Diceros bicornis minor: one gene and its partners. The protein of the gene in region 3 purifies or fractionates together with the protein of the main gene of each other region. This does not show direct contact. Links are inferred from orthologs where the notes say so. Each region holds a gene or a part of one and is shown on either strand. Other genes may lie near its edges. The genes, in order: CHM, RABGGTA and RAB5A.

Region 1 (7,831 bases), on a different chromosome or scaffold from region 3:
ATTTATTAGTCTTTCTAGTCTTTGTATGAGCTTTTTGCTGACTTATTAACCACATGCGTATTACTTGTTCAATTACAAACACAAAACCAGCTGATGAAACAAGTTTACTGGGCAATCAACTCATGTTATTCCCATTTAGAAGTACTAATGTGTTGTTTCCTGAAGATTTCCTATACTTTATTATTCATCCGTCCATTCAGCAGCTTTTCAAAAAACTTATTTTTTTGACAAGTAAAAATTATATATATTTAAGGTGTATAATGTGATGTTTTGATATATGTATACAGTGTGAAATGATTACCACAATCAAACTAATTAACATATCTATCACCTCCCATAGTTACCATTTTTTTGTGTGGTGAGAACACTTGAGACCTACAATCTTAGCAAATTTCATGTATACAATACATTATTATTGACTATAGTCATCATGCTGTACATTAGGTATCTAGAACTTATTCAACTTATAACTGAAATTTTGAACCCTTTGATCAATATCTCCCCTTTTCCCCAAACGCACAGCCTCTAGTAACCACCATTCTACTCTCTGTTACTATAAGGTTGACTTAAATTTTTTTTTTTTAGATTCCACATATTAGTGAGATCATGCAATATTTGTCATTCTGTGTCTGGCTTATTTCACTTAGCATAATGTTTTCCAGATTCATCCATGTTGTTGCAAATGGTAGGACTTCCTTCTTTTTACAGGCTGAATAATATTCCATATATAGATATATATCTATATATCTATACATCACATTTTCTTTATCCATTCATCTGTCGATGAACACAAGCTGTTTCCATATCTTGGCTACTGCGAATAAGGCTGCAATGAACAGGGGACTGCAGATATCTCTTCAAGATAGTGATTTTATTTGCTTTGAATATATACCCAGAAGTAGGATTTCAGTGGATATTTTGAGTGCCTATTATGTGCCAGGCACCGAATGATGTATTGGGAATATAACGATGAATAATATAGGCACAGTCCTTGCCTTTGTGGAACTTACCTTCTAGGAAGATGGCAGATATGAAACAAGTAATTGCATAAGTGATTTTATATTTTCAATTATGAAAAGTTCAACAAAGGAGTAGTACAGGGTGATAGGAGACCTAAGGTAGACTGAGGACTCAATGCAGACAGCAGAGTATGTGATGTTTTGAACGAACTGCAACATGAGTAGGATTAAGCTAGGAGAAAGGGGGAAGAAGGATAAAAGTGCACCTCAGGCACACGGAAGAGCATTTCTGAAGTCCCTGAAGCAGGAAGGAGCATGGGGTATTAGAGGAAACGAAGGAGAGCCAATATGGCTGGAGCTTAGAGAGAGAAGGGTGAGAGGTATGAGATGAGACTGCAGAGTTCAGCAGGGTCTTTTAGACCATGTTTAAAATTTTGGAGTATATTTTAGGAGCAATGGGAAATCACGAAGGCTTTAGGTAGAGGAGGACATGATAAGATTTGAATTTTTAAAAGTTTACCTGCAGTGTGGAGAGCGGACTGGAGAGAAGCAAGCATGAATAAGGGCTCTAGCTGAGACCTCCTGTCGTAGTCTAGGTAAGAGATTATGGGGCAGTCTAGATTGAGAAGTAGATATATTTACAATATAGCTTTGAGATAAATCTGCAAGAGTTGCTGATTAATTGGCTTAAAGGTGAAATAGAGTGATATATCAAGGATAATTTTCTTAAGTTTTTGACTTGAGCTAACTGACTAGAAAGTGGTACCATTTCCAAGGTAAATAACATTGGAAAAAGAGGTTTGGGAGCGGGGTTGAACTGTTCAGGAGTTCAGTATTCAACACGTTCAGAAGAGATGTTGAGTAAGGGGTTGTGTATATGGATCTGGAACTCAAAGGAAAGGCCAGGGATAGAGACTATTAAATTACTGGTTTGTAAACGATGATACATCAGATCCCACAGTTGAGTAAACTTCTAAATACAAGGTAAATGTTCATAGAATCGTGGTTTTTCAACTCAGGAAATCAAGTACAAAATTAGTGTCACAGTGATTGAATAGGGTAGTATATTTGTAGGTATCCATCATCTTATTGTACTGTGACTTATCCAAATAAAATATTTCAGTTCTCAAAAATAGATGTCCTTAGAATAATAGAATATATAGAAATTAAGTTGTTTTGCTTTATGATATTTTACTGATATTATCAACTCCTATATTTATGTTTACTTTGCAAAAAATCTACAAAAATACATTTGAAAGAAAAGGTATTTTGAGCATTTTCTCCATGCAGAGGCTTTAAATTTTTCTAATGTAATAATCTTTTCCATGCCCAGCGAGTGTGTGATAACTTTAGAGAAAGGAAGCTAAATATGGGCTGGCAATTTTATCTTTCTGAGAGTTGTGCTTTCCAGCCTCAGAAAAAAGGGAATTCAAATTTGGGGCAAAACATATTGGAAAATTAGTACTACGGAGTAATCACTTGTTTATTTTTGTTTTTTACTTCACTAGATATAAACTTCATGAAGACAGAGATTTTTGTCTTTTAGGTTCATTCCTGTAATCCCAGTGTCTAAATCAGTGCCTTGCACATAGTAGGTATTCAATAAATATTTGAGGAAAATTGAATGAATTTAATGAGTTGTGTCTTCACAGTGTGATTGCATTTGTTAGAAAATTTCTGAATCCATAGAAAGTTAGATATACTCATATCGAAAAGGATATATATATATATACACGTACACATGTATACACATATATCTCCAAAATAAGATAGAAATACTTTTATTTATCATGCTTCTAACCACCCATCTATGGCTTCTCTCTGTTAGAGGAGATTTTGGAAACTTTCTTGTGTCTACCTTGGGAAATCTTTAATTTCCATTTTCACTGGTGGTGTTAAGAGTCTCACAGATAAGATCTATTTCACTTTTGATAATACTCAAAACTTTCTTTTCATATCAAAGCAAATGGCAGAGTGGTTTACTGAACAATATATTACACTTCTCAGAGGAATCTCTTTTACACAAAATATTCATCAGAGGACCATATCACAAGAGAATTGTTCAATATAACAAGATAATCTATAAAAGAAATTAATGAAACATGCACAATGTTGCTAATGATTATAGCAAAATGCAATGAAATGAGGCAAAAAAAACCCATTAAAATACAATTTTAAGAATTTTCATGGAACTTCAGCAAAGTAACAAACATGCATTGAGCATCTTCAGAATATAAGATACCTCATAGTAGTTGGCAGACATCACGGTGAAGACTTAAGTCCCTGTCTCCATAGTACTTACCATGTATTAGAGAAGTCAGAACTAAGCTCAGTTCAGCAAACACTTATTTAATCCCTACTCTGCACCAGGTTTATGTTAGATGCAGGGGGTAAAAAGATAAATAAGGCACAGTCCTTATCATACAGGGGCTTATAATTTAGAACGCTGTATATCTGGATGTGTATTTTTGTGAGTATGTCTGGGGATATGTGTACTGTATAGGAACCAAGATAAACGCAAATAATTTCAGTGTAATATGGCAGTTTATGACAGAGTGGTAGCACTACATAGAGAAATTTAACCCAATATAGGGAGGAGATAAAAGGAGGAGGTGGTGGAAGCCGAGCTGAATCTCGGGGATAAATGTTAGCTAGAGAATGGGAAGATTATTCCATGCTGAAGGAACAACAGTGTGACTGGGGGACCACAAACAGCTCAGAGGACAGGAGGTGTGAGGGAAGGTCCACTACTGCACTCTCTCTCTGAATTATTTTGAAACTCTTGCAAAATAACTACACAATGAATTTCTGGGATCAAAAAAGTACTCTTCCTCACTCCCACGCACCCTTCCCTTCTTTTTTGCTTTGGTATTGCCAGACAGCAAAGCATTTTAAATGACGGGGGGTGGTGGGGGGAGGGGGTGGGAGGAGGCCGACCTTGAAAATACTTATGAGAGCTATGTTAGCTGCTTCGCATAGACAATCTAAGCCCCTTCATCAAATGCAATCAGTTTAATATAAAGGCCATTTTACCTTGATTATTTCTGCGGTGGCTTATCAGGAGAATCTTGTACGGACTTCTCGTATATGTATAGAAAACCAGATTCAGAATCAATAAACGCTTATCAAGCAAATACTATGCTTTCATATGTTTTTCCCTCCTGTAAAGCAAGGCTAATTTTGCAAATATATATTGCCAGCGTGGCTGTTTGGACTAACTAGAACAAATACAGACACGGCAAGGGTTCCATTCTGGCGAAACTAGGGCGAGAGGTTTTTTTGTGAGTTTTCACTGGGGAGACACACAGACAAAAAAAGTACGGGATATATTTTGAAAGTATTGTGTGAAAAATTACGCCTCGCGGGCCAAAAAGAAAGTACAGACACACTGGGGGAAACAGTCTCCAGGCTGGAATGAAAATTTCCTTTGTTCACAGAGCAATCCTCTTTCAATTTCACTCCGCCCTCCGTGTCTCTTAGCAATTCTTGCTTCATCATTGTCAAGGGGTATCCAGGTCTTCCCACATTCATCGGAGTAAAAATCTACATCTTTTTTCTACTCCAAACCTCCAAGCTAAATGTGCTACTGCACTCAGCCTGGAAAATGAATCGAGCTTTTAATATTCGCCTAAACATTTCAAATATAATGCTGTAGCCGCCTACCTGGACCTGCCACCCAGGAACTACAATACCCAGAATGCACTGTTTTCCCTTCCGCCTTCTACCAAAGCAATGCCTAATTTGATCTCATTTCCACAAGCAATAGTCACATGACACGTTTCCTGTCAAGATGGCGGATAATCTCCCTTCGGAGTTTGATGTGATCGTAATAGGGACGGGTATGTGTGGCTCTGGTACTCCCCGGACAAAGTGTAGGAAGTCTATCTCGTTCCTACCTTCTCTGTCAGTGGCGAGGATTGGCGAGAAATGCCGAGGATCGAGTATAGGAGGGAGGACGGAAAGGAAGTGAGGTAGTCTGGAATCAGCGCGGGACTTTGCAGCTCCAGGGAGGGGCTTGGACCCGCGGTGCTTAGCGCCGTTTGAGTAGGGGTCGATCTGGTCGATGCCGATTGCTGAGGTTGGTTGCTGCGGGTGATTCCTGTAATTTACTTAGAGGGAGGTGGGTTTGCAGTGTCATGAGAATGGAGGGTCGGGATTATATCAGTGGAGACGCCTTTGGCATGACATTATGATTCCCTCCTTGTTGATTTCAAGGTGCTATTCCCGATCAGTTTGTCTCGCCATTGCATAGGAATTTTTCATATAGTTATATAATCCTAGGGTGCAGTGCAGCTCAGATACAGCTTAATCCTCAGTTTTCAGAGAAAGATGCTCAGTTGTTGCCCTTGTGCGTGTTAATTCACTGGGGTGAGGAAACGGATTCTTTTCTATTGTGTTGAGAAGCTTAGGGAATTGTATTTTGTTGAGGTAGCCATTATTCCTGCTTTATGGTGCTGAAAGAAGGCATTTTGCCTTCTACCACCCACGTGTCTACCCACAACGAAATGAGCTGAGAACAAGCTGCTGTTAGTTCCAGTTCAGGTGTGTGACCTTATCTTTCCCTTGTTTTCCCATCGTTTATTTTCCATGTTTTGGGTGGTGTCAGAAACCCCCAGCAATTTCTAGTTGACAAATTCCACGTACAACTCGTGGCAGAAGACATTTGGCAGCAATTGGTATTTTGTTTTTCTTAACAGTGTAGAGTGGATTTTAGATGGGATGAAATAGGTTGTTGGGTGGAGTTTTCTCCTGTCTGCAGAATGTGGTAGGCCGGAGAGGGTCTGGTGGATGAGACCCTGACCATTGTGTTCATGAGTTTAGTTCGTTGTCCTCTCAAACAGTAGGAGCAGCCATGTTACCAGGGCGGGAGTAAAAATAATAGCTACCTGTTTGAATGCTTATTGTTTGCTAATCTATGTGCTAAGCACTCTACAAGCCGTATGTAATCCTCACAACAGCGTTGTTAGAGTAGGTATTCTCTACACTTTACAGAAAAGGAAAAGGGAGCTTAGAAATGTTGCAGTTTGCTCAAGATCACACAGCTGGTAAATTTCCAAAGGCCCATTCCATTCTAGGAGAAACAGTGGTTTTGACCCTCAGAGTTAACCCATATGAGTAGAAATAATTGGGAAAACTTTGTTCTAGACCATGCTTGGCCATTAACTAGCTGTGTGAATTGCTAGGACTAGGCACTTAATCTCTGAGTCTTAGTTTTCTTGTTTTTGAATATAGGGAGGGTCAACTAGATAGCCTTTTAGATGTTGTCTGACCAAAAATTCTCTTGTTCTGGTTGCACCTGGGTAATTGTTCTCAGAACAGCGAGGACATGTTTATTCCCAACCTGAAAACTGCATGGGTGCAGATAACCTGGCTGTAGCTGCTATATACAGATGTTGGATGAGAGCTGGAAGGAACCAATAGACTATTCTCTTATTTTATCCAGTCTATCCTAAAACTAAGAACAACATCCATTTTAGAATAGTTGTTATACCATACTTGGGATCTATATTATTGCCTTTCTTTTTTATTACCTAGGAATTTGGGGTGTTTTAAAATTTTTTTTGAACCATTGAGACTTTTTTGTTATCTGGATTCAAGTTTTAATTGATGAGTGCTAATTCTTATTATTAAATGCTGTTAATTCTTATAATAAATTTTGCCTTCTGGTTCTGTTCATAATATGGACTACAGCCATTCCATTGGAGTCTGTTATAATAGAGGTAGGAAGATACTGTGAGTGATACAGAAAATGGCTTCAAGAGGCATCTCGTGTATTTGGAAAAAGATTCATTTTAGACTTATTCCAGTGAGAGTAACGTAGTTTCTCAAAGCATGGGAAGAAGTTATTTGAAGTTGATCTTAAAAGTTAAGGTTTTCATATCACTCCATGTTGAACACATTCCGAGTTTATCAAGCACATTGCTTAAATTTATGATATGGAGCTTTGTTTTTAGGTTCGTCACATTGGAAAAATTGGATGAAAGTCATTTCCCAAATAAATGATTCCAATAATTCCAATCATTACTTAATTGGAATTATTTTTAATGTGTTTGGACTATTTCTCTTCTGAAATAGTTTGCTGAAAGTAGCCGTTAAAACGTGTTTGCTTTACTAAATGTACTAACTTGAGTAAATCATAAGAAAAGCAGTGTTTCGTAGATTCAGTTTTACCAACAAAAGCATAATTAATCATGCATGTATCAGAAACATGAAGAAATAGGCTATGAGATGTAATTTTTCTTTTAGCAGATTTAGTTCTAGTTAAAATGTCATCAAGACAGTTGCTTCATCAGTAAAATCTCTGGATAATATTTTAGATCCCTTTGACCTTAATTAATATATTTCTTTTCATTTTTCATAACAAGATTTTCCTGAAGATCATGTTTTGAAGAGATTATGAGAAAATAAAGTTTTGTGTGTCTTTTCTTAGTTAAGCACATTTCCTCTTGATTACAAAATGCAGGAAATCTCTCTCAGACACCCAAAGGCAGAGGAATAAGATAAAGTACTTGAACCATGGAAAATATGGAATAAAATGGAATAAGGAAGGAGGGTCAACTGAGTCTTAAGGGAGAAGACACAAATGGATATGTGATAAGTGTCTACAAAGTGGCCTTCAGTTTGGGTACACAATTGTCATTTTAAAGACATTTTGTCATTTAAAAAGATTTGAATGATAGTTTTGTGGGTTGTAGAGAAGTGTCGTTGGCTTCAGGTTAAAAATAGTCCCAGTAACATAACACATCACCCGAGGTGACTTATCTGGCGACCTGTGTAATCTGCAGCAGAGCCAACAACTCAGTAGAAGGGCAGGCAAGATGGAAATGACAAGAGCTATGTGATAATATCGGAATGCTTCTTACACGGGGGAA
Region 2 (6,963 bases), on a different chromosome or scaffold from region 3:
ATCCCCAGTGTCCAGCCTGAGACTTTCTGTCCAAGCTCCCAGCCTCCCGCCCCAGATGCCTGACGCCCAGAGCTCTTCTCCTTGTCCGTGTGCTTCCCTGTCATCACCTGAAGAGCTGCTCGTCTGTGGCCGAGTCCCGGCACCAGGCCTCCTGGCGGCCTGAGAGAAAGAGGAGGTGGGGGGAGGGGACGCCATGAGAGGAGGGGAGGGAGGGGGGCTGCTGCAAGGGGTGCAGAGTGCAGGTCGCATCACCTTTTAAAAGCACACACTCCTTCTGGGCATCGCCTGCTGTCCAAATGACATGAAATGTATGCTGGGGCAGCTGGTCGTTGAGAGAGGCAGCGGGAAGGTCACAGAGCTGGGAGCACAGGGTCAAGGAAACACCCCGGGCCTCACCATTTTCTGACTGTCCCACCCCAGCCCTGCCCCAGCCCCCCACAATGCCCCACCAATCCTAGGATACCCAGACATGGCTGGCCTGGTTCCTGCCATCTGGGGTCCTCCATTCCACAGCCAGGGGCGACTCATCCACCATAAGCAGCAAGGTCTCCATCCTGGAGCCCACCTGGCACAGGGGACAAAGAGAGACCCATCAGCCCAACAGCACCAGGCCCACAATCCAGGATGCTCTCCAGCAAAAGCTGCAGGACTCACTAGGAGGGGCCGAGAGAAGGAGACAGTCAGACAAGCCTCGTCCCGGCTCACGTGCAGGCAGCGCAGGGCATCCTGGGAGTCAGCTGGGGGAAGACACAGCCTCAGGTCTCCGTAAATACTCTTCCATTCCTTCCAAGCCCTAAACACCCAGCCTCCTCCTCCATTGCTCACCTCGTCCCAGGAGCCACCGGTGGTAGAACCAGGCACTCTGATCATTGGGGTCAGTGAAGAAGGCGTTCTGCACCAGCTCCAGCTCTGCAGGGGCCAAGGAGGCACGGGGCTGTGGTCAGGACATCCCACCCTGTCCTTGGAGCACTTCCAGCCCTCAGGCTCAGGTATACGCTGGCCTTGCACAGGGGCTGCATACATCAGTTTTATCTTCCCCATTGGACACTTATGCTCTCTGCAGCCAGGGGCTGAATCTTATGCACCGCCAGAGCCAGGCATGAAGTAGGTGTTCAATAAACCCAAGAGGCAGGTTCAGGAACAGAGCTAGGCCTCAGGGCTGGAGGATGGGCTACAGAGTCATCCCCAGCACCCCTGACTCTGCTTACCTTTGAGCAGAACATCCTCGGGGAGGCGCCCCTGCGGTCCACAGTCTGGCTGGGGGTGCAGCTGGGGCAAGAGGCAGGAACGGTAATGCCAGGAGGAGTAGTTGGAGAAGTTTCGGGTGATGAGGCTGTCAGTGAAGGCTAGCTCCTCGGCAGGGGGCACAGCTGCCTGTGCAGCCACAAACCGCCGGTAGTCCCAGCAGTGAACTGGGGGGGAGGGGTGACAGCACATCTCAGAAGCAGGGCAGGGGGAGCTCCCTGGCTGGTACCCCTAGCGTTCCACCCCTATGCACTCCATGGAGGATGCATTTGGCTCTACCATCCCTTCTGCCACCAGTTCAGTGGGCCTATCCTGGCCATCCCTCCCCACTCTGGGCCTTACTGATGTGGGGCAGCTGAGGGCTGTGGGGACAGAACAGGCACGTACAGTTCCGCTCATCGACCTCAAGGAAGCGGGCACACAGTTCCAGCTCCCGGGCCCAGTTGGGCTCTGGCAGGCGGCCCAGCAGCCAGCAGCGGTGGTGCCAAGTACCATAAGACTTGGGGTTCACCCTCAGGCAGCTCTCCAGGAAGCCCAGTTCTGCCTTCACCAGAGCGGCCAGCTCCTCAGGGGACCTGCACCCAGAGGGGACTGGAGGTCAGGGCCCTCCAACACCCACCTTCAGCTGTCCCTGCCTTTCTACACCCAGCCCTCCACTGCTCTCTGCCTCTGCCCCTGGCTGCCCCACTCCTCCTCTACCCTTGAACCCAGGCAGGGCAGGGGCAGGGCCAGGGCTGCCTTCCTGGGGCACTGAACCCCACGCACTTCTGGGCCTCCAGCCGCTGGAGCACCTCTCGTCGACAGTTCCAGAGGGTGGCAAAGTCAGGGTTGGCCCCCAGAATCTGGCTTGTCAGTTCCAGCACGGACTCATCCAGCTCCCCAGCCTGGCGCTGAGAAGACGGGTAGCAGGGTCAGAGATCATAACATTCTCCCACTGCAGAGCTAAATAACATAAACAGAGCTACCGAATATTCTGTGAATCCCATACTATACAATAGGTACAATGCAAAGTGCTTTAAGGGTTTACATGTATTTTCTCACTTAATTTTCACAACAGCCTTACACAGTAAGTGCAATTATTAGCCCCGTTTTACAAATGAGCAGACTGAGGCCCAGAGAGATTCAGTAACTTGCCCAAGGTCATACAAGTTAGTAAGTGATAGAACCCAGATATGGATCCAGGCAGTCTGACTCTGAGGCCCAGCTCTCAGCCTCTGTGCTATACTAAGGAGGCCACCTGGGGAGGGGGCTACCTCTGAGGGCCCCACCTTCTGGAAAACCGTCTGGGTCGCTGACTGGTATAGCTTCAGCTTCTGTTCCCGCTCTAGCCTTTTGGCCTCCGCTTGCTCTTCCGATGTCTTCACCTTCAGGCGCCCGTGCTAAAGGGATGGGCGGGTTGGAAGGGTGCAGGCTGCCTTTCAAGGGCAGACCCACCGAACCCCCCACTGCGGAGTCCCAGGTTTATATAGTGCAACCGAGGCAAGGCCAAACGGGGCGAGGGCACCGGCATTCCAAGGCGAGGGGTTGGGCTCAGGGTTCTCACCATGGTGCCGGCTCAGGATTCAGGACAGGGGAGGGGTCCAGCGGTAGCCCGGGAAACCTGGGGAGAGAGGTGTCAATCATGGGAGCCCCGCCCCCGACGGCCCCGCCTCCAGCTGTCCCCCGGAAGCCCCACGCGAGCCTCGGCGGAGACCCCCCCCACCCCCCGGGGTGTGAATGGGTGCCGGAACAGGCTCCGCACGGCTAAGAGGAGGCTCTCCCACCCGCATGGGACTTGTACCCGTGCGGCCCTGCCCACAGCCCGACCCGCTGGGGCCGGACCCGAGCCGGGGCACTTGGGTGATGGGGACCACTCTGCGCCCAGAGGCTGCCGCTACCCGCCCGCCCCACGGCTCCCAGACACTCCCGCCCCTCGCGGGCGGACCCACCTGCGCTGGGAGGAGGCGTGGGGGACGCGGAGCTGCGGCGCCCGCCACCGAGCCCAGCCGCTGGCTAGAGCGCCGCCACGCCCCGGCTCTCCGAGGTGCAGCGCCCTCTGCAGGCTTGGGGAGAGGCCCGCGGCGGAGTAGGCGGGCTCCGGAGGCGCGTGCGCGGGGTCTCGGCGCGCGCTGTCGAAAACCCGAAGTCCCCGTTAGCCCTCTGCTGTGTACGAGTACGCATGCGCGAGTATGGCTCGCGCGTGGAGGCTGCGGGGCTGCTATTCCAGTTCTCTGCTCCAAGTGCAAGTTAGTTGAAGAGATCTCTCCAACAGCTGGAAACCCACGCCCTCCCCACTCCATTGACCTCACTCTGGCCGGAGTGGCCACCTCCTAGTTGCCAAATCTAACTGACGGAGTTTCTTGTCCTTATCTTCCTTGACTTCTGGGGCATTTGACGCTACTGCCTTATTTGACTTGACACCTTGTTCTGGCTTCTCCTCGTGCACCTTTGCCCTTCTCTTCTCTTTTCTTCATCTTTTCTTGCCCTACATGTTGGTGATCTCCAGGGCCTTTTCCTCATCCTCTTTTCATTTCACACGCTGTTCCTGGGAGAACGTTCACAAATGCAAGCCTTCAATTGCTTGGAGTTGAAGCTCCCCAGAGCTCAGGGCCCACAAAAGTCTTCTGGCCCACACTTTCTCTGGGTGACTTCACCCACGCTCACGGTTTTAATTTCTGCCTGTAAGCTGATGACACTCAAACTTGTATCTCCAGCCCAGATGTCTTGCTAGCTTTAATAATGAACACATAGATATGTACACACATATTCATATATATGTTGTATATGTTTTATAAATATGCCCACACATATTCAAAAGCCTGTTAGATATCACCTGTATAGACACAAAATAACCGATAACCATTCTATAGATAAGAGAAATAAGGTGAGTTTACTTGAGCCAGAGTGAGGATTATAACCCGGGAAGGCCTTAGACAGCATTCCGGAGAAGTGGGGTTTTCAGTACAGTCTTATATCTTTTTAGAACAAAGTACGTACATTAAACACACCCAGGATATGTTTTCATCAAAATTTCAAAGAGGTATCCAGTTGCAAATTAGCAGGTCAACGTGACCGTGATGTCAGGAAAGGGACCAATGCAGGCGTTACCAATAGGGCCTAGGAGGGGAAGTATGCATTCTTGTCTTAAGAAAGTGTATTCTTTACTTTAATCATTAAGCAGATGTACAATGTATGTTTGATAGGCCATAAGTCAGGCTTTTTAGTTCAAGCCAAATCCGTTTTGAACCCCAATAGTTACCCCATATACCTCAATATGTGAGAAGCTCTTGTCTCCTGGGTGTCCCAGAGACGCCTTGAACTCCGAAAGTCAAAAGGTATCATTGTCTCCCTTCTATCCAGTCTAAATTTTGGCCTTTTTCTTTTCCTCTTGCAGTGAATGGCACTATTCCCTCCTCACTTTTCCTTACTATCTCTTAAATGCCCTCTCCCTTCCCTGTGCACTAAGAATTGAAGCTCATTTCTTCTCCTGGTTGTTGAAAGTCTTTTCAATGTTCCCTCATCTACACCCTGTCCCCTCTATTATCAGTTCGTCCTTTGTGCTGCTGGATTGATCTTTCTAAAATGCAGATTCAATCATGTCACATCTCTGCCTAAAAGCCCTCCGCGGCTCCTGAGAGCTTTTCAGGACAGTCTTGAATCTCTCAGGTTAGCACATCAGGCCTTTTGGCGCTTGGGCCCTGCCTACCCCTCTGGCCTCATGTCCTGCCTGTCCCTGTTAAAAACTCTTCATCACAGCCGATAGAACAACTTGTAGTTTCCCAAACATGTTAACCTGTTCCCACTTCTTGCCTCTCCTTCCTCCACACGCCTCCTTTGCCAGGGTAACTCCTGTTCATCTTTAAGATTTAACTCAAGTGTCACCTCCAGGAAGTTCTCCAAAATGCCCCAGTCTGGTTTAAAAGACCTTCATATGTGCTGTCAAAGATAGGATTTATTTCCCCGTGCCTACTGTAAGTCTTGGGTGGTATGCCAGCATCTCCTATCAGATTCAAAGTTCCTTTAGGGCAGAAACAACACTTTTCTGGTCTTGCCTCTGCAATACCTGGCCCTGGTTCCTAGTAGTTATTTGAATGAATAAACAAAACACCACATAGTGAGGGCTGGCTTGGCTGGCCCTAACAGTGAGCGCTGTTGGCATTCAGGGGTGGGAGAGATCGTGTGGCCTGGACCAGCTCAGGAAGGTTTCCTGGTGGAGCCTTCATGGGGTTCAAGGTGGCCAGTGAATGTGTATGTGTGAGTGTGCGTGATGTATTTGTGAGACGTGTGTGTCCATGTGGTGTGTGTATGTTTATAACTCACATCCGGGTGAGGAAGTATGGCTTTAAATTCTTTAGAGTTCTTCCACACCTTTCTCGGGCCCTGGAAATGTGTGTAAAGTGCCTACCCTCTATTCTGTCCTTTCCTAGGCCCTGTACCAGGGTACAGAGGAAAAGAGACACTTTTCCTGGCCTCGTGTACCTGCAGTCCCAGTGAGCAAAGCATGACACCACTGCTTTATTATCTTTGTGCCCGGCACTGTGTCAGGAGCTTTACACACACACAGGATTACACGTGGGAGGCAGGAAGCAGAGTAGTTAGGAACGTGGACTCTGGAGCCTGGCTGCCTGTGTGCAGATCCTGGCTTTGTCACTTATTAGCTTTGTGACCAGGGGTAAGGTACTTAACCTCTGTGTTGTGTTTCCTCTGTGTCTTAGTTGCTTAAACAGTAACATAGAAAAAATAATAATACCCACCTGCCGGGGTTGAAGTGAAGATGAGATAAAAGAATCTATGTAAAGTGCTTAGGATAGTAAAGGCTAGGTAAATAGTAATAGTAGTAATGATAATATTATTTCTGATCTTTGTGACAATATCTTGTGACAAGGAAATTGAGGGTCAGAAAGGTTCAGTAACTTGCTGAGGGCCACCCATGTAGTAAGTGGCCAAATGGGACCTGTGGCTGCTCTGGTCCAGCCCTCCCACCTCACCAACTGCTTTTTTTTTTTTGGTCACCGCTTGCTCTTGCTTCCTGCTCTATAACAATCACATGTACAACCAGATACCTGGGAATGTAGATTCCCACAGGTGTAGATTTCCCAAGAACAGTCTTACATCATAGTCACTAAGGGAGGAGGGAGCGGGGGATAAAGGCTGAAGTAGACAGGAAATATTTTTCAGTGATTAGCAATCTTGAAACCAGGGAAGCTGAGTCAAGCAAGCTTAAGAGAGGAAGTGAGTCTCATGAAGAAATCTGTTTCAGAGAATGAAGGGCCTGGTTTTGGAAAAAGAGGGCGGGAAGGGCATTTCAGGCGTGAATGATGACGTGGAGGTTGGGGAGAGAAAGCCAAACAGACTCAGCTGGCTGGCAGACAGAAGCTGAGCCAGGTGCCTTTGGAGATAAGAGCAATGGAACCAATGACGAGCCTCTTGCTTTAAGGCAAAAGGAGCTGTCAGGAGTTATATTTGGCCGCCTGTATGGAATAAGTGGGAACCAGGCAGGTGTCTGAGGGCCATGATCTGAATGATGTTTGAGGAAGGGATTTTACTGCCTCCTATGTAGAGAAAGGAACAAGCAATAATTGAGTACTGACTGAGCCCCAGACATCTTATTTAACGCACTCACTACCTCTATGAGGTAGGTATTATTATCCATATTTTACAGTGAGGAAACAATGCATACAGTGGGTTCACAGAGGATAAGTTGCTTGCCCAATGTCACACAGCTGGGAGGAAACACAG
Region 3 (7,858 bases):
GGGGAAAGCTGTACCTGGCTCGAGGGAAGTTCCCAATTCCTTGAGGGGGCCCAACTCTCACGAAAGAGCACATCTCCACTCGAACTCCCTGCCCGCTACTTAACACCTAGCGAAGCTCACAGGGAAAACGGAGCTGGAGGTCTGTTTACCCGGTTACCTGGGAAACAGGGGCGTCGCTTGGCGTGCAATTCTCTCTCCCGAGCAGATCCCCGCCCATCTCTTCCTCTTTCTCTTCCGTCCGTTTCTCTCTCTCCTCTTCTCCCTTTCCTCTCTGTCTCCCTCTTTCTCTCTCTCCCTCTCTCTCATTCTGTCACTTTTCCCCCCTTCTTTACCAGATTTGGAGATCAAGAAAACTTGAAGGATGTGGTCTTCGGCACTAGAGCAAATGCTCACCAACTTCTCTCTAGTTTCCCAAGCAATGCAATCCTCTTAGGATGGGTTCATCCATGGGCTTCCTCCTGGCCGGTGGCCGATTCATTTTACCGGTGATCAGGGAATAAATAACCCTTTTTCTGGTGGTGGCCACTAATTTTAGGTCCTTCCTTGTGCAAGTACATGTACACTGCATGTAGTTTAAAAGCCCTAAAAAACTACTTTAAATTCTGTAAAGTTATATTTGGCAGCTGTGGTATAGAAACATGTTCAAATCTGTGAGAACACATACTTTAATAACTAGCCTTTAAATATCATTTAAAGTAAATATATTAAAGTTTGAGATGTGTTACACAATAATGCATACTGAATTTTTAAAATATTGTGGCAAATTCAAACTTAATGTTTTTAAGTATGAGATTTTCTTTAAATTGGGGTTACACCTCTGTCAGGTTTTAATGAGAGCGTGTTTGGTGAATATTTGTCATGTTCTATACATACAGGAGACATAGAACACCTAGTTTAGAATTTGAATGGAATTTATGGGAATCCAATTTTTTTAAGAACTCTATGAAAAACTTAAAATCCAAAAATTTTAAAAGTGATAAGGATACTATTTCACATTTGTAAAAACCGTGTAATTTTCTAGATAGTTAATATAAATATTCTTCTCACCCTAATCACTTTAAATGACTTGATAGTGTATAAATCAAGGTATGTTTGTATAAGAGTTCATTCAATTCTTTCATTTTACAAATAGCTATTGAGTCCCTACCTTGTGTCAGTGCTCGGAATACAGTGGAATATAAGCCAATCCTTATCTCATGGAATTTATATTCTAGTGGGTATAAGTAACCATCAAGTAAACCAATAAATAAGATCATTTCACATAGTGATAAGTGTTATGAAGAAAACAATGCTTTGATGTAAAGGGAAGCTACTTTAGAATTGGGGGGCTTAGAAGTCCCTTAGGTAGGTGACATTTGAGCTTGCATGATGCCCTGCAGAGACATGCTTTTTAAACATGACTAGCTCAAGTTTCCACAGCATTTTTCTCAGCGTCTTGTCATCATGCCTACGATTCTTTATGTTAGAATTACCTTTTGGTTTGTCTCCAGTCAAAATGTTACCATTCCTTACCACCGAGGCAAAGACTCATTCTTCAACTACACAATGGAGGAAAGATTTCCTGGAAGGGAAAGTAGAAGATAGGGGGTGCAGTGGATGATTGAGAGATGCAAACTGCTGGGAATTTGTGAGTGGGTGTTTAGAGATTTGAGGGCAAAGGAAGCACTAAGAACAGTGTTCAAGTCTTTATGACTTTATTTAGGGCCCATCCATTTTATAGTTAGTCTATCAACAAGTAGGATCCCACATTTCCCACTAAAATATATACAATTATCAGTCCTCAGTCATCTGGAGTTAGGAAAAAACACAGGCATATTGTGAGTGGCAATACAAGAGCAAAGCTTACTGTGGCATTTCAATCTCTCCAAAATTACCACAGGATTCTAGAGGTGCTAGCCACTGGAGCAGCACCCTCCCAAGCAAACACTATGACTAAACAATAAAATATAGTGGAATGTATTCATGAAGGAGGTGAATTAAAAGATAAAATTGGTAGAAAGAAATGAATGAGGAAGCAATATCCTAGAACAATGAAATGGGAAGTTTCCAGCAATTTACAAATTTCAGCATCCATGTGTTATTTGTTAGGTCTTCTTAAGTCATACGTTCACCATTCTAAATGTAATTAAGTTCACCAATATTTTTGGGGTCCCTATTATATGAATCAAAGGTCCTCTGGAGGAATTGACGATTAAATTATGGTCCAAGCCCTCAAGAACTTTAAAATCCTAATGGGAATGAAAGTCTAAGGAGAAAAGTCTAGGCACTCTCTAACTGTAAAATAAGGCAGATATTAGAACCATTATAGACAGTAAGGCAAAGTATCATGAAACTATAGGAAAAAGATAACTAAATCCAGTGGAAGTATCATCAGATGTGGTCCAGAGGAGTTGGCATCCTGGCTAAGGTGAGACCTGCAGTGACAGGCAGTAATGGTGTTCCAAGTGGAGAAAACAAAGCGATCAAAGACACCAAGATGAGAACACACAAGCAACATTCTGGGAACACAGAGTAGACTGGTATGATTAGGGCACAAAGCAGGAGTTTGGGATAGAGGGAGGCTACAGAAACAGAATGAAAGAAATGTGGGTTGGGACTAGAGTTGAAGAACTTTGGACTGTATTTAGCAAGTAATGAGATAGCATTGAACATTTTTGAGTAGGAGAGTGACTGGCTACAGCATAAAGAACGGATAGAAGAGGCAGGAGCATGTATTAATTCCAGTTTATATGAATACTATCAGGGCCCAGGCTTTGGGATTACATCTCAGATTTAGGGATTAGAGAATTTTGGGTGATAGAATGGACAACGGTTTAAGAGGGAAAAAAGGACGAGTTGAAGATGATTCTGCTCTTTCAAGCCCATGTGACTGGGAGGCTATTAATACCAGTCACCAAGCAGAAGCAGGTTTGGGGTGGAATAGGTTTGGTTTTGGACATACTGTTGACATGCCAAAACTGATGTGACATATCCTATTTCCTGATTCTTCCTAGGATTGTCCCAGAGGTATTACCATGACTAACACATCATATTGGAACAACCCCTGGGGATAAAGTGCTACAGATACCACTTATGTATGACACATTATGCTCTTCTGGTTAGTAACTAGGGAGTTGATCTGAAAGACTGGCTATTCAAGGGTTTAAATCATCTTCATTACATAATGTTGACTGAGCACCAACAAGATACCTTACCCCAAGTACACATAGTAGACAATCCATATCGATGTCCTCACAACAGGGCTATAAACGGTAAACTGCACATTGAAAAGTAGCCCTTATCCTGAGGGAAAATCAATTTAACATTCTACCAAGTTACAAAACGAATTTTTGTTTTGTTTTGTTTTGTTTCAGATGCCTGGTCAGAGACTGTCTATCGTGTGAGATTTAACCAAAGAAGCCTGTCTTATATAGGTCTCCAGTGGAGGATAATTAATGGCTTGTTTTTCACTGCAGTCGTGCTTAAGCACTCAGGTTCTGGAGCCAGCCTGCAGGTTAGAATGCAATTTCATCACCAACTCCGCGATGATTTTGCACAAATTACTCAATCTCTGTGCCTCAAATTCTTTACCTGTAAAACAGGCACGCCTCATTGACTAATTCCACAACCATGACTTAAGACTCCTGGCTGCCAGGCACTGTGCTAATCAGACAGCGGTGAGGACCACTTTGGGGAGTTAACATTCTAATGCAGGGAGGCAGACGATGAAGTTAGTTTCAGAGTGAAAGCTTCATGGTGTAAGAATAAAATGGGATAATTCCTGTAAAGTGCAGGACCCGTGAAGGGAAACTCTGAATGAAGTTAGCTATTATTCTAGGATTTGCCCCTCCCCACCAAAAACAAGTAAACTCGCAATAAAAGCATGTTATTACTTTAAGACTTCCCCGCCTAAAGACAACTTTTGGGATGGGGAGGGTCTCATCCTCCTCCCCGCAGTAAACACCACTTACCGGCCCTGACCGACCCAACCATCCACAGGGACACGCTGGGGGGCTCTCTCGTGGTAGAAAAGTCCCCTCAAAAAAGCCCCTTAGGCGAGTTACCAGGGTTGGGATGTCGCGGGGTAGGGTACGGGGAACTGTGAGCTCATATACACAGAGGGAACTTCGCCGCCCCACGTACGCTGGAAGCAACAAACCCAAGATCTCTGGGGCTTCCCCGAAAGCTAGGCGGTAATGGAGTTTCCCCCCCGCCCCTCCCGCCAGGAGGCCAAGACCGCCGTCCAGATAACAATGGCGCCGGCGGGGGCGGGGCCGCGCGCGCCTCGGGTGAGGGAGGGAGGAGGGAGGCGGCGGGATCCGAGCCCACTGCCCGGGAGTCACGTGACAAGCCCCGCCCCGCGAACTGGCCCCCGCTGGGAGGGCTTTGAGAGGGGCGGGGCAACGGTTGGAGCGGTCGGACAGGTGACGACCGGAAGTGACGAAGGGGCGTAGTTCGCTACGTGCAGCGACGTGGCGGCGAGGTCGGCGCCGGGCGGCGGAAGTGGCTCCCGCGCTGGGACTTGAGTGTTTGTGTTTTGGTTTGCGAAGGACCCGGCGGCCGGCCTGTGGGGAGGAGGCAGAGGAGGGAGGAGGAGGAAGAGTTAGTCGGAACTCGAGCGCCGGCGGCGGCGGTGGCGGTGGCGACGGCGGCGGAGGAGAAAGGAAAGAGGAAGGCGGAGCGGAGAGAGGCGGAGACGGAGCCCGACGGGGGCGGCACCACGGCACGAGCACCGCACCGTCCAGTCTAAGGGGAGCAGCGCGAGGAGACGCGCCGCCGCCAAAGCCACAGCCTCGGCCTCCTCTCGGGACACGCCTGTGACCTGCTGCCGGGAAGCTTCAGCCCCGCGGCTCCGCGTGCTGCGGCCTCAGGTAACCAGACCGTCCCTCGCCCTGCCCACAGCGGGCCGGGACCCCGGGTTCTTCGCGGTCCCCAGTCTGTCCGCGGCCCTGCCGGCCCCGAGCCCCCCGCCCCTTCTCCCTCGCGCGCGCGGGTGTCCTGGACCGGAGTGCTGTCGAACCCGGCGTCTCGTCCTGCCGGCCTGGTGACTCATCCTTCAAGGGGCTCTGGAGACCAGGATTTGGGGACTGGCTGCGGGAGCGACGGGTGTCACCCTCTTCCCTTCTCAAGATGGCGCCGTGAAAGAGTATTGGAGGCCGCGGTCCCGCCTGGCTCCTGCCCTGGCAGCCCTGGGGGGTCCCAGCCAGAGCCAGGCCAGGTTCAGGGGAGGAGAATGGGAATGATGGCCAGGGGGCCTGGCGGATCCTGCTCGTTCAGGCGATCCGGAGTTTGGTGTCAGTTGCTCAGGTGATCTCCAAGGAGGCACCGGGGCCTACGGCAGGTGTGAATTTGGGGAGCTCCGCCTGCCTTCGACTTCCAGAGATGGCTAATGGAGGGAGGAGGAGGAGGCTCGTCAAAATAGGCTGTCTAGAGACTCTTGTCTCATCTATGGAAGGTGGTGAACCGCAGCTTTGAAGAACTCAAGACAGCTAGGCCGCTGAACACCCTCAGTGGGTAGAGACCATTAAACCTGCTCTGCTGTTCTCTTTCCTGGAAGCTGCTTACCCCCCTGAGACTTTTTAAGCTCTGAACGTCGTAATTCACATATTTGGTTTTTGTCTTTTGCTTAAGTGGAGTCACAGTGTTGAATCAGTTGGTTTTCGCATAACTAGTAGGAAAAAAACACGTATACACCATTGATAATTCAGGACAGCTCACAAACTTTATTCATAATGTAAAATGGGGATAATCATATAAGCTCATAGGGTTGTTGTAAGCAAAATTCATAGAATAGTGCTTGGCACAGAAGTATCTAGTAAATGTTTGCTGCTATTAAAGCAATTTTAATCAAAGAGCACCCAGAAGGACTTTAACTATAGAATACCAGTTATTTTCAAAAGATTAAAAATGCGTTTTATGGAAAATCTTGTTTTGCAAAATAGAGAAGTTTCAATAGTGAATACAAATGTGCGTTTTTTAACTGTAATGTTATGCTAACTATATATGTATAGTTAAATTTATTTTCTGTTTGAGAGCCTTAGGAGGAACCATAATCCAATAGCTTTAAACCTTAAAAGGCAAAGCTAATTCGTAATTTTTTTTAATGGGAATCTGATGTTTTCCCTGAAATTTTGGAAGTACCATGGAAATTCGGAGTATATTGTCCTTGATGAGTAATTTAGTTTACTGTTTGTAGGTAATCAGACAATTGGGAAGTGTTTCAATTGCTGTTCTATGTAATCTAAAGGTGTGTTGGTGCATTTTCATCTACGTGACATTCTGTTGATATTTGCTCATTATCTCATCAACGGTCCACTTTAATTGCCAATTTTCAATCCCTACTATGTGTTGACCACTGTATTGGAGAGTTTTTACATATATTCTCTCATTTAATTCTCACAGCAGCTATGTAAGTTAGGTATTCTGGAAGTAGAGATTTGGAAATGAAAGCACTTGTTCCAGCAGAAATTGGTATAGCCAGCCAGGATTGTATCCCCAAATCTGGTGTGTTTTGAAGGGGATGGGAGGATAGATATGGGGGTTGTAGCGTTTTTTCATTATGGAAAATTTTTTAAATATTCAGAGGTAGGGAGGATAGTGCAATGAACCTGTCACCTGACTTCAATTATCTTATGGCCAGTCTTGTTTTATTTACATTCCCATTGTTTGGAAGCAACTCAGACATATCATTTCACCTGTTAAGTATTTTGGTATGTATTACTAAAAGATAAGGACTCTTCAAAGCTGCTGTTTAGATGAGGCAGAGGTGATTTTATTGTCTCGAGAATGTAAGGCCTCATGGATAGGTTTATTAATGAATTCATGGTCAAGAGGAATTCTTGTATAAACTCATTTCGTGGGGAAGGCAAATTTGCTTATATCAGGTTCCTAAATGAAACATAACAGTGATTTTAGGGAGAGAATCATCAGATTTAATATTATTAGTAAGCCCATGATCAGATTTTGATTAAAGATAGGAGAAAACTATTATGATTGGTTTGTGAATGGATTGGAAAAGAGTTCTTTAAATGTTTACTAATTTCTTTGAGATTGAAAATTAGCGTTATTAGATAATGATAAGAGAAGACACACAAGTTGCCATTCCGGCTAGTTTCTTCTAAATGTGTTAAATACAAAATAATGACATAGCCCCAAAACTACAGAAAAGTATAAGTAAATAAGACACTAATAAGCTCACCACATAAGAGAACCATGGTTATCATTTGCCTGTATGATGTACTTGAGCACATGAGGAAACAATTCTGTCTTATAGCCACTAGACACAAACTTGGGAGCCTTTAAATATTTGTTGCTCCAAAATTACCATTAATTAAACAAAGAACATGTACCATTTATTTTATTTATATATGTTTTTTTAGGAAGATCAGCCCTGAGCTAACATCCATGCTAATCCTCCTCTTTTTGCTGAGGAATACTGGCTCTGAGCTAACATCTATTGCCAGTCCTCCTGCTTTTTTTTCCCCAAAGCCCCACTAGATAGTCGTACGTTATAGCTGCACATCCTTCTAGTTGCTGTATGTGGGACGCGGCCTCAGCATGGCCAGAGAAGCGGTGCGTCGGTGCGCGCCTAGGATCCGGACCCGGGCCGCCAGTAGCGGAGCGCACGCACTTAACCGCTAAGCCACGGGGCGACCTGAACGTGTACCATTTAACGGAGGCCTTCAGATTATAATGGCCAACATTTATTGAGTTCTTACTCTGTTCTAGGATCTGTTCTACTTATTAACATAATTTTCCTCAAAACTGCTTTAACCCATGTAGTCTGGCTCCAGAACCTGAACTCTTGAGTCACCTCTCGGGTCTCCTGGCTTTGAAACTCAACTCTATCACAGTAACTGTGTGACCTCAATCAATTTAC

Evidence for each region.
Region 1: the proteins of RAB5A (region 3) and CHM purify together in Homo sapiens (affinity purification with mass spectrometry; 3 studies listed by BioGRID and IntAct, counting the BioPlex papers as one, with this or other methods). This does not show direct contact. The link is inferred for Diceros bicornis minor from reciprocal best matches to the Homo sapiens genes RAB5A and CHM.
Region 2: the proteins of RAB5A (region 3) and RABGGTA purify together in Homo sapiens (affinity purification with mass spectrometry; 3 studies listed by BioGRID and IntAct, counting the BioPlex papers as one, with this or other methods). This does not show direct contact. The link is inferred for Diceros bicornis minor from reciprocal best matches to the Homo sapiens genes RAB5A and RABGGTA.

Annotation. Positions count from the first base shown.
Region 1 is NC_080781.1:78,471,839-78,479,669, reverse strand, and holds the start of CHM (rab proteins geranylgeranyltransferase component A 1), read left to right. Parts: upstream 1-4,746; 5' UTR 4,747-4,749; coding exon 4,750-4,798; intron 4,799-7,831. UniProt on the Homo sapiens protein: Substrate-binding subunit of the Rab geranylgeranyltransferase (GGTase) complex.
Region 2 is NC_080744.1:23,743,532-23,750,494, reverse strand, and holds the start of RABGGTA (geranylgeranyl transferase type-2 subunit alpha), read right to left. Parts: upstream 3,096-6,963; 5' UTR 3,026-3,095; intron 2,846-3,025; 5' UTR 2,792-2,845; coding exon 2,789-2,791; intron 2,625-2,788; coding exon 2,514-2,624; intron 2,136-2,513; coding exon 2,011-2,135; intron 1,821-2,010; coding exon 1,633-1,820; intron 1,413-1,632; coding exon 1,209-1,412; intron 910-1,208; coding exon 826-909; intron 738-825; coding exon 655-737; intron 566-654; coding exon 464-565; intron 359-463; coding exon 253-358; intron 160-252; coding exon 108-159; intron 1-107. UniProt on the Homo sapiens protein: Catalyzes the transfer of a geranylgeranyl moiety from geranylgeranyl diphosphate to both cysteines of Rab proteins with the C-terminal sequence -XXCC, -XCXC and -CCXX, such as RAB1A, RAB3A, RAB5A and RAB7A.
Region 3 is NC_080741.1:25,754,052-25,761,909, forward strand, and holds the start of RAB5A (ras-related protein Rab-5A), read left to right. Parts: upstream 1-4,764; 5' UTR 4,765-4,850; intron 4,851-7,858. UniProt on the Homo sapiens protein: The small GTPases Rab are key regulators of intracellular membrane trafficking, from the formation of transport vesicles to their fusion with membranes.